Mus musculus: one gene and its partners. The protein of the gene in region 3 interacts with the protein of the main gene of each other region in a pairwise test. Links are inferred from orthologs where the notes say so. Each region holds a gene or a part of one and is shown on either strand. Other genes may lie near its edges.

Region 1 (4,276 bases), on a different chromosome or scaffold from region 3:
AGGTTATCCTCTCCAACGCCAAGAGATCAGACCCTCTGGAGATGGGAGGAGAGCGTCTGTACTTTTTTTTTTGTTTTTTGGTTGTTTTTTTTTTTTTTTTTTTTTTTTTTTTTTTCGAGACAGGGTTTTTCTGTGTAGCACTGGCTGTCCTGGAACTCACACTGTAGACCAGGCTGGCCTTGAACTCAAAAATCCACCTGCCTCTGCCTCCCGAGTGCTGGGATCAAAGGCGTGCACCACCACGCCCGGCGTCTGTACTTTTAAAGCTCCTTCCCAAACTGCACAGAAGCTTGAGAAAGCCAAGTTCATAAAACATTTTACAAAATAATTGTATAGTTCTGAGAAAATGCTGCAGTTTCTGGGGGCCTGGGGGAAGAAACTGCCCCCGTGGCCCCAAGCTACCAGTGGGATTTGGAACTGCCCACACTTGAACTTATATGAACTGCGCAGGCTCTGTTTCCAAAAGCCTCTCACCCGCTATTTTAAGGAAGTGAAAGAACCGAAGGGTGTCCTGCTGTGACACAAGTCTGGGGCCCCAATCTTCCTCTACTGGCTTTGCCTTTGCTCTGCTGCTGGCCATGTCCCCGCAGTGCTCACACACCTGTTTGCCACAGTATTTATGATCTTCTGTTCATGTGTGCAAGCCTCTGGTCATACCAGTAATTTTAGACTAATTTTGAAAAAAAAAAAAAAAAAAAAAAGACGAGTCGTGTCTGTCAACACTCCAGGTGTAAGCAACTGGAGTCCAGCTTAGTAGAGACTCCTGCCAGAGTCCCTGTATCCCTGCCATCTGAGGCCCTGGAGATTCTAAGCAGATAAAATGAGCAACCGGCCCTTGGAGGCCCGGGTAGGGCAAGCAGCTGTGGTAAAACCCAGGGCCTTATGCACGCTCGAGGTAGGTGCTGGGATTCGGTCTCCAGGTTTTTTTTGTTTGTTTGTTTTGCATACTTGTACCTGACCTTGCAGGGCACAGGAAGTGTTCTGTCTTCAGCTATTCACAAGACAGAACACCAGAGCTTTAACCACTAGAGGGACCTTCAGGAAAGGCGGGGGGAGCGGCGGCGGAGGTTGAGTTAGACAGATCTAAGAGTGACATGGAACCCAAATTGGGGTTGGTCTGGGCTGATTGGGAATGATACAGGTCTTAGACTACCCTTAATCTCAATGGGGTTACACAAGGCCCGCTGTGTGTGTGTGTGTGTGTGTGTGTGTGTGTGTACGCTTGCGCTTCGGTGCTCCTTTCTGCAATTCTCCGCACGCTTTCCTCGTCCTGCTGACAGATTACAAAAACTCTGGAGACCTGAGCACAGTGGGACACAAGGAAAATGCCTAGGGTCCTTTCTGCGGCCGGAAGAGTGCAAGAGTCCTAGGTGCAAGCAGTGGGCTGGACCCAGAGAGGGGCGTGGTCTCCCGGGAGGGGCGGGGTTTGAGCCAGCACGGGAGCTCTGCCTGGGGGCGGGGCTGACCAGGCAAGTCCCTGTGGAACTGGAACTGTGGCTCTTGGGTCCTCGCGGGCCACTGCGGTGCGGGAGAAGGAGGAGGGGTGGCAGAGGGGCGGTTCCTAGGGGGAAGGTCCCAGCAGCCAGAGAGCCACACTCCGGGACCAGCCTCTCTGGGATCCCCGCCTCCGTCACGTGGGTGCCGAACCGGGTCGGTGCTGGCGGGTCTGCCACTTGGTTGGCAGTTGGTCCTTGGGCCAGTGGCCTGTCACTGGGTTCTCCGCTCTTATGTTGGAAAGTGTGAGGGACACAGGAGCGACCTGCATACCTGAGCCTCCGAGAGAGAAGCTGCACTCTGGCATCCAGGTCAGTGGGTCTCCCTGCCTCGGCTCACCGCTATCCCGGGAACTGAGTACCCCCAGATCCAAGAACTACATGGGTAGTTGGGCGTCTGTGGTCTTTTAGACCTTCGAACGTTTTCAAGACTTGGGGACCCACTTATTTGTCTGGGAGACTGAGAAAAGGGAGCAACTCCCCTGGATTTGCTTGAGTTTTCTACCCGACCTCGCTCTGGATGTGCCACCTGCCCCGCGCTTCTACAGGTGGCAGAGTGGTCCCCAGGATACCGGGGTGTTCCGATATCTCAGAGTTCCGGGCGATTTTGACCCAAGCCTTGAGTCCCGTGAGGGCAGCAGTGGCATCAACTGGAGATACCTAGGTGGGTTTGTTCCATAGACCTTTGGTCCAGAGCGCTTTGGCCAGGAGCAGTTCTGTGCACTAATTGCTAAATGCAACACACTTCCCAAAGGCTCAAGGCAGGATTAGGGTGTGGGGATGCTTCTGTTTTTAAAAGTGGGTCCTCTTCCCTCCTTCCATCCTGACGCCAGACCCATACTTTTCCCTCCGATCAAAATAAGGTTATTATATGTTTAAAAACTAGAACTTCCAAGGTTCCGGTAGGATTCAAATAGGCATTCAGCTCTTTCTTAGAGCACTGAGATATTTGATATAGATCAGTCTTCCTCTTCATATTTTGGTTTTATTTCTGCCTGTGTTCATTTCTCTTGGTCCTTAATTGATTATATTGTAGACTGTAGTGTTTATTAGATTACCGAGTATTTTGTTAAGGTAAATGCTCAACTACAGGAAGGAAGTCAATTACAGACCTAATTAATCTTCAGTCTTAGATTACTATTGGTATACTAAACATGTTATCTGATTAGAAATTATTTCTTTCTTCACCAGCCCGTTTGTATGCATATTTACGTGACTTTGAAGTGGAATATTGTTAAGTCTTTTGTTGTTATTTTCATTTGGGATTTTATTTAAGGCTGATGGTGATGGGAACTGGTGATCTCATTTAGACCCTTGTGAATGCTTAGCTAGGCAAGTGCTCTACCACTGAGCAACAACACTCAGCCCTCACATAATATATTAGTGGTATCACTCTGAGGTTTGATGATGTGCCGATTTTAGTTTATTGCTACTATTGTCTGTGTTTTGGTAACTAAGGCAGATATGCTAAGTGGATGGATAACATAAGAGATACATGTAAGAGATAAAGACAGATGAAGGTTGGAACAAACTTACAGAAATTCTAGGGGTTTGTTTGTTTTTTTTCACCAGAATAAGGAAAATCTGGGTAGGTTTTAAGAAGGATCAATCTATATGAGGGATGTCACAGGAAGATGTTAGCGGTGACCTGGGCCATGGAGAGGTCTATAAGGCAAACTCAGTCTATAAGAAATGGCTACTGGTCCTTCTTGGTTCCTGGCCTGATTGGTAGACAGAACAAAATAACAACAAAACCAATGGTCCCAGCTGGCCCAAGGCCACAGACTTCAATGTATGGGATATTAAGCAGAGACTGACTGTGGTCTGCTGAGCTTATCAAAGTTAGAGTCCTTGAACTTTGACCTGCCCAACCCCCAGCCTGACAGAAATCTAGTAAACATTTGTGGAGAGAAAGGTCAGCTGACATTTTAGAGCCCTGTGCTTCAGACACAAGCTTGAGAATCAAGAGATGATCTTCAAAAGTAGATTTTTGACACTGTGGGTCAGGGGTGAAGTCTGGCATTCTGTATTTCTAACCTATTTCTTTCTTGTTTGTATCAAGTATTAAGAGTGATGTACAAACTCTCCGAAGGCCTCGGAGTTTTGCAAACTCTTCAGGTTAAGTAGGTCCCAGGCATGTTTGGCATTCTCCAGGTGTTTCTAATAACAGCCGGGTGGGATCCACTATTGGACTTGGTAGCGCCTGAAGGACCACAGCTGGAAGGCCAGTTAGGAGACTGGCAGGCCAATTCAGATAATTATGAGGAGAGTGAAGTGTGAGTAGACAAAAGAGACCCTAGAAATACCAGGGCCAGGAAAAGGGAGGTGTCAGCCTTTATACTGGTTAGGCAGAATAAGACTCTAGGAAAAGGAACAGTTCTTGGAGAATTCTAGTTCAATTTTGGATGCACTACTTCGACAATACTGGTCAGCAGCTAATTTGTGTGTGTCCATAAGTTTGTGTGGGGATGGTTTCTCCTGAAATACAGATCTATTTATGATTCATTACTGTTTCAAATCCCCTGGTGAGGGAGAAAGAATGAATATATAGGTGACATGTTTTAAACGTTAAGACCTATAAAGTGTGTGACTCCATATAAGATATGACGGTCACCCCTTTGTGCACAAAAGTAAAGCTAAAACTCTGGGCTTGGATTCTCCTGAGTCACTGGTTTTCTTGCTTCCTCCTTCCTCTTAGGAGTTCCACTTCCTTTACCCTTTGCTACCCTAGAATTTCGTTTTGTTTGTGCTTGAAGGCACCTATGTGTGTTTATTTTTAGAGT
Region 2 (4,196 bases), on a different chromosome or scaffold from region 3:
GCAAAACACATGAAACTCAAGAAGAATGAAGACCAAAGTGTGGATGCTTCGCTCCTTAGAATGGGGAACAAAATACCCATGGAAGAAGTTACAAAGTTTGGAGCTGAGACCAAAGGAAGGACCATCCAGAGACTGCCCCACCTGGGGATCCATCCTATATACAACCACCAAACTCAGACACTATTGCATATGTCAGAAAGATTTTGCTGACAGGACCCTGATATATCTGTCTTTTGTGAGGCTATGCCAGTGTCTGGCAAATACAGAAGTGGATGTTCATAATCATTTATTGGATGGAACACAGGGCCCCTAATGAAGGAGCTAGAGAAAGTACCCAAGGAGCTAAAGGGAACTGCAACCCTATAGGAGGAACAACAATATGAACTAGCCAGTACCCGAGCTCGTGTCTCTAGCTGCATATGTAGCAGAGGATGGCCTAGTCAGCCATCATTGGGAGGAGAGGCCCTTGGTCTTGCGAAGATCATATGCCCCAGTTCAGGGGATTGCCAGGGCCAGGAAGTGGGGAGCAGGGTGGGGGCAGGGTATAGGGGACTTTTGGGGTAGCATTTGAAATGTAAATGAAAAAAAAATCTTAAAAAAAAAAAGAATAGAAAAAGAAACAGGCTTGGTGACATACAACTGTAACCCTAGGCTAGGACCAAGGCCAGGCCAGCCCAGACTTGTAAGACTATCTTCGTCTTTGTTTTTTAGAGCTAGGGTTTTTCTCTAAGTAGCTTCCCTGGCAGTCCTGGAATTAGATTTGTAGACCAGGCTGGCCTTGAACTCAGAGGCCCGCCTGCCTCAGGGTAAGTGCTGGGATTTGGTCCACAGGCCCGCCCCCTATGGGACTGTCTTAAGGAAGGAAGAAATCCAAACTGAAGCTGTATTAGCACCTGTGCAGTGAATGCAGAGGAGGCACCAAGGATGTGACGGATCTGTCACATCCTTGGTGCCTCCTCTACCCAAGCTTAGGCTACAGGATAAAACTAAAGGATGAAATAGGTATGAACAGAGCAACAGAAGATAATGAAAGCAACCGGATAGTGGTCCACTCTTGGACAAAGAAAACCTTACTCTGTAGTCTCACACCCAAAAACTGTTTCCCCTAGTCCTTGGTTCTAGGCTCACCCAAAGAAATTTGTAGCCAGAGTGATGTACCAAAGGCACTGTCACTTCCGTGGCTTGATTTCCCTTCAGAGCCTCTCAGACATGGCCTAGGGACAGTTTCCAATTGTTAAAACAGCCTGGTGATGTGTTAGGACCCACCCACTCCTCCTTCAGTTCTTACACCTCACTGTCCTCCGAGTCTCAATTCAAGGGTTATTTTGCTGGAATCTCAAAAATCTACCACATGTTACCTCATTTCCATGTGTCAATTAATTCCATCTGATTTTAAACTCCATAAGAATGGGGTCCCTCTCCCTTTTATTGCTGAGGATGGATAATAAATATTCAGTTTAATTAAGGGAACAACAACAACGACAACAAAAAAATCCCTAAGCACAGAAAGAAACACACACACACACACACACCAAAAAAAAAAAAAAAAAACCTAACAAATATTAAGCCTCTTCCAGCATATACACGACTAAACACACTCCTTGCCTCATTTAATCTTTATATAACTTCAGAACCACTACTGTATTTTCAACATGGAGGGCCAAAAGTTAAAAGCTTATTAAAGCCAGGTGGTCATGGCACATGCCTTTATCCCAGCACTCGGGAGGCAGAGGAAGGCGAATCTCTTCAGTTCCTGGCTAGCCTGGTCTACAAGAGTGAGTTACAGGACAGCCAGGGCTACAGAGAAACCTTGTTTCAGAAAGAAAAGAGAGGGTGGCACCCGGGAGGCAAACCAACCTGGTTTACAGAGCGAGTCCCGGGTACCCAGGACTACAGAGAAACAAAACAATAACTCACTAAATAAATAAGTAAAACCACCAGGTCACTTAGCTCCAAAACCTAGGTCTTTTCCACCCCCCCCCTCCTCCACCCCCGCAATTGTGGAAGTGACAATTTAGCATTTCCTGTTACTTGACACCTCAGTTCTCTCCCATCACAATAGGGACCGGCTTCCCAAGGACTAAGATTTACTTTTGCACAACCTCTTTATAAAGGATTCACTTTAGGACTTAACAAAATTCTTACAATAAAGAAAGATGAAAATGGCTGGCGGTTTCTTGGGGAGGAGTCCAGGAAAGTGCTCAGCATCCTATCCTGGCTACTACAGTTAGGAACCAGCAGGTCTGCCATGTCAAAATTCATAGATTCTGAGGGCCTATGGATAAATTAAGGGGCCTGGAAGCCCTGTAGCAGGCACTTTTGGGTTAAGCCCTCGGGTCCTCTCAGGTTAACTGGGGACTCCTTCCGAGGCTACCCAAAGCCTCAGTTTATACCCTGTTTTATCCCGGGACCAGCTACGGGATTCTAAATTCCTTCCTAACAAAGCATTCCTTCCAAAACACACCCTCCTCTCCTAACACATCTACACCCGGGCCCCAGGGTCTCGCGCAAGGCCACTTCGAGCGGGCCCGCCAAGCCACACACCTGCCTTTAAATAATAATTTTTTTTAAAAAAACAATTAAGGTTGTAACAAATTGTAACGCTCATTCTTCTCTTCTCCAAACAATGGCTGGCTATACTCAAAAATGAGGGGCCCTCATTTGGAAAGCCAAATTGTAAAAACAGTTCTCACCTTCTTGTCTCCAGCAGTCTCCATCTTGAGAATAGATGAATCCTCCGAAAGAAAGTTCTCCCAGCTTCCAAAAGACCTCTGACCTCAGCCGGCTTTTCAAAATCTCCTCCTACTTCCTGTTGTCTTGAGGCCCTCTTCCGTTCCCCTCCCCTTCTGGTCCCACCCTCAACAAAATTGTGATGCTAAAATCTCCTTTTGTGGCTGATTTTAATAAAATCCCCTTTTGTGTGGTTTAATTATTAGGCTTGTTTCCTCGAATTTTTTTTTGTTTGTTTTGTTTTGTTTTGTTTTTGAGGCAGAGTTTATCATTTCTTTGCCTGGCCAGAAATGCGCTTTGTATATTGTACTGTCTCAACCTCCGGAATACTGCGATTTAGAGGTGTGAGCTGCTACCCCCTGCTCCTGGCAACTGTAGATCTGGGATATTTAAAACTGTAATTATTGCTGGGCGTGGCAGCACACACCTTTAATCCCAGCATTAGAGATGCAGAGGCAGGTGGATCTCTCTGAGCTCCTGGTCAGCCTAGTCTACATAGTGAGACTCTATCTTAGAAAAAAGAAAAAAAAAAAAAAAAGGGAAGGAAGGAAGGAAGGAAGGAAGGAAGAAAGAAAGAAAGAAAGAAAGAAAGAAAGAAAGAAAGAAAGAAAGAAAGAAAGAAAGAAAGAAAGAAAGAAAGAAAGAACCTAAATATTGCTAAGGGAAAGTGAAGTTCCTAGAGAATTCTGAAAAGACTGCAAATTTATCTAATGGAATTAGCATCCTGAACAGGAATGAAAACAACCCAGTTGCTCCAGAAATCCTTTTCCATGAGATGGCAGGGGGTGGGGGTTGCATTGTTTTGGTGGTTTCAGGGCTCACCCTGGGCTTTGTTTCTGTGCACCAATCAATCTACCACTGAGCTACAATCCCAGCCCATAAAATTACAACTCTTTTAATTCTTCCCCATCCAACCCTCCTTTTTTGAAGTCTCCACGGACCTGCAGCATACTGAGGTCTTCCTGTCTCATCCTCCTGACTGCTAGGATTCAAGGTGTACCCCACCACACCTGGCCAGGGCTTGAATTTCTGATCTTCTAGCTTCCCCAGGGCTGGAATTCAGGCCACCGAGCCTGGTTCAAAACTGTAACTTTCTATCTGCCAACTGTTTTTTTTTTTTTTTTTAAAGATTTATTTATTTATTATATGGAAGTACATTGTAGCTGTCTTCAGACACTCCAGAAGGGGGAGTCAGATCTCGTTATGGATGGTTGTGAGCCACCATGTGGTTGCTGGGATTTGAACTCTGGACCTTTGGAAGAGCAGTCGGGTGCTCTTACCCACTGAGCCATCTCACCAGCCCTTTTTTTTTTTTTTTTTTTTCTGCCAACTGTTAAAAGGTTTTGTCGTTGCTAGTTGGTTGGTATTTGATAACAGGGTTTCTCTGTGTAGCCTGCTGTCCTGGACCAGGCTGGCCTCGAACTCACAGAGCTCCTCCTGCCTCTCTGCCTTCTGAGTGCTGGGAC
Region 3 (2,835 bases):
TCAAAAGATCACCAAGCCAAACATTTGGCCATACTTTTATTTACTACATATACTATAAACATATACAATACATGCTACAAAAAAAAAAACATTTTTAAAATTTAACTGTCAAGAAAGTGAATAGTGTTATAATACAATGGCACATGTTCATATTTTATTTCAAATTGGTTTGCTTATCACCCATTTCAAACCATTAATAGTGAAATGTTACTTGTGGAAAATTAAAATTATCTATTTGCATTATTAATAAACATTTTCAACAAATTAATAAGAATTAACCATGTCAAATATTAGTATCCAAAAATGGGCTCTTGCAGAAGTGATTATATAAAACATAGCAGCCAATTTCAGTTTACTTTGCTCTGTGACAATGTACATACGCATCTGACTAGGATTATAGCACTTGCTATTTTTGGAAGATATTTGTAAGAAGTCCTTTGATCTCTTGAGGTCCAATAACTGCTACACCCAGCCAAATCCAACCAAACAGTTCACGTAATGGCTCTGAATAACTAATCACTGAGGAGTTCGTAGGCTTCACGGAGAGCTGCAGATCCCATTCCCACCACATATAGTGAAGAGACAATACAAGCCAGCATCAAAGGCAAAAGAAAATACCAGCATTCAAATCAGTTGTGACGATGATTTTCTAAGAAGTGTTTTCGATGCCATAATTTCAGGAACAGATTCTTTTTTGTTTTTGTTTTTGTTTTTGAAACAAGGTCTCACTTTCTAACTCCTGACTGTTCTGGAAGTAGCTCTGTAGACCAGGTTGGTCTTGAACTCAGAGATCCACTTGCCTTTGTCTCCCAAGGGCTAGGACTAAAGACATTCACCATCACACAAGGCTTAGGGAAACAGGATTGACTGTGCATTTGGATTTACACAATCTATGCTAACTGAAAAGTGAAACAAGCAGTCAGGTGCAGTAAGTCACGTGCTACAAACCTGTCCATTCAGTATCACTGACCACCTATTATGAGCTCAGAACTGGGCCAACATCTCTAAAGTTGAGTATTACTGTTTTTATCAAGCTACAGTGAGGTAAAAAATGTATTAAATTAGCATCAACTCATTAAATCTGCCTGTGGTAATGTATGCCAACTGGCGTCCCTGGGCCATACAACACGCTTCTGCACTCTGCTCATTCTTTCGTACAAAATCTCTACACACGTGCTCAGCAATGTGCTAGTCACTTCAGTCACATGATTTGGTATATGTTCAATGAATGCAAATTCATCATATTAATCTACACAAGACAACTAAGAAGGTAAATTATTTTTCTAAAATGAGGTTCAAAGCAAAGTATAAGGTGTTTCTATTGGTCACCTACACCAGAGACCAGCAAGTGCCTTTATCACCTGAAAGTCTCATGTTACAGTCTAAAGAAACCCTATAATTTGTGGCCTCAGAGGCCTAGTCTCTGGAGCATCTGACCTCGTATAAATCATTCTCTACTTTAAAGGGTTGTAAACTAAATCTGGACAAAGGAGAACCCAAATGAAGGCAATTTATAGTGTAATATACTTCACCAACTATTAAACCATGTAAAATGATACATAAGTAATTTACGACTGGAATAGTTTTCAAAGTATCAATCCTACCCAAATGCATAGAATTCTAACCTGCCTTTTATACAACTTGCACATGATGCAGAGGGCAAAGTTTGGCCCTTGATACCTTCTATAGGATACAGTAAGTGATTGGTCCTTCCACTCCAAGTAGAATCTGAGAACTTTGAGCATCCCATTAGGATACTAGCAATCAGGAAAAATGGCCCTGCCAGATCTGTCCCATCAGTAAGGTGAGTCTTGAGCTGTGGTAGCAGTGTGAACCTACGATGCCCCCTTGGGGGAAGGCAGAGAGCTGGGAGTTTATCCACTGAGTGAATCCAATACTGGCTTAAAGCTATGCACTGAATAAAGTGCTCTGTACATCCTGCTTCTCATCTGGAATGAAGATATACATTATCCTAAGAATCAAGCCACTTATAGGTACAGGGGAGGAGAGTAACAAGGAAAGAATCCAAGAAAAATCCAAGGAAGACAAATGCCTCTAGTAGTGTTCTCAGAATCCTCAGGATTTGAAATGTCAGAATGAGTCATACAATGGTCATGGTCCATAAATGCAAATGCAACCCCACTGGGTAATATTCACACAGTGCATGATTACGTCATGGGAGTGGGGAACAGTCTGCTGCCACTTGACAGTATGGATTCAGGATGAAAACAGAACCTCTGAAGAAATCAGGGTCAGCAGTGAGTAACATTCTTTTCCTGCCCATCAGCTTTCCACAGGTTGATCTGTTTTGCCCAAAAGAAAGGAGGCAATGTATTTACGTCTTCTCATACAGGCACGGCAACTACCACCTAAAACTGCCAACTCAGAAGTTAACCACATAAGCCCTCCGGTTTCGTACCCTGAATATGGTAAATACAAGTGAGAATGGAGTAGTTCAGTCTTAAAAAAGATCCCAGGTAACAGAATGCTTATATAAACTAGACTGCTTTGACACCTGTAAGAAAATTGTATAGATGGCAATTGGGGGGAAACAGATTGTTCCATCTGTCAGCAAACTGTCGAGCTATACTCAGCTGAAGTCCTCATCGGGATTCTGTTGATCCAGCAGACGGACATGTGTGAATGGGAAGTGACCTCGTTTGCCATTACACTCCCCTTCCCACTGACCACTCACATTAATCTTCGTAACCTTTACCAGCTCACCGACCTGCAGGACGAGAATAAGGAGAGTACTTTATTTCCAGTTAAGAATGCAAGGTGAAAATCTCCATTCTCTGTTAGGCACACCCTGCCCACGTGATTGCTCTAGGGCTG

The links.
Region 1: the proteins of Crk (region 3) and Ppfibp2 interact in binary tests that used the Homo sapiens proteins (3 or more experiments, as listed by UniProt). The link is inferred for Mus musculus from reciprocal best matches to the Homo sapiens genes CRK and PPFIBP2.
Region 2: the proteins of Crk (region 3) and Dppa4 interact in binary tests that used the Homo sapiens proteins (3 or more experiments, as listed by UniProt). The two-hybrid records come from large-scale screens. The link is inferred for Mus musculus from reciprocal best matches to the Homo sapiens genes CRK and DPPA4.

Annotation. Positions count from the first base shown.
Region 1 is NC_000073.6:107,593,575-107,597,850, forward strand, and holds the start of Ppfibp2 (liprin-beta-2), read left to right. Parts: upstream 1-1,476; 5' UTR 1,477-1,727; coding exon of another isoform or gene 1,728-1,805; intron 1,806-4,276. UniProt on the Homo sapiens protein: May regulate the disassembly of focal adhesions. Did not bind receptor-like tyrosine phosphatases type 2A.
Region 2 is NC_000082.6:48,282,339-48,286,534, reverse strand, and holds the start of Dppa4 (developmental pluripotency-associated protein 4), read right to left. Parts: upstream 2,801-4,196; 5' UTR 2,718-2,800; coding exon 2,694-2,717; intron 1-2,693. UniProt on the Homo sapiens protein: May be involved in the maintenance of active epigenetic status of target genes. May inhibit differentiation of embryonic cells into a primitive ectoderm lineage.
Region 3 is NC_000077.6:75,703,259-75,706,093, reverse strand, and holds part of Crk (adapter molecule crk), read right to left. Parts: intron 2,729-2,835; coding exon 2,591-2,728; 3' UTR 1-2,590. UniProt on the Homo sapiens protein: Involved in cell branching and adhesion mediated by BCAR1-CRK-RAPGEF1 signaling and activation of RAP1.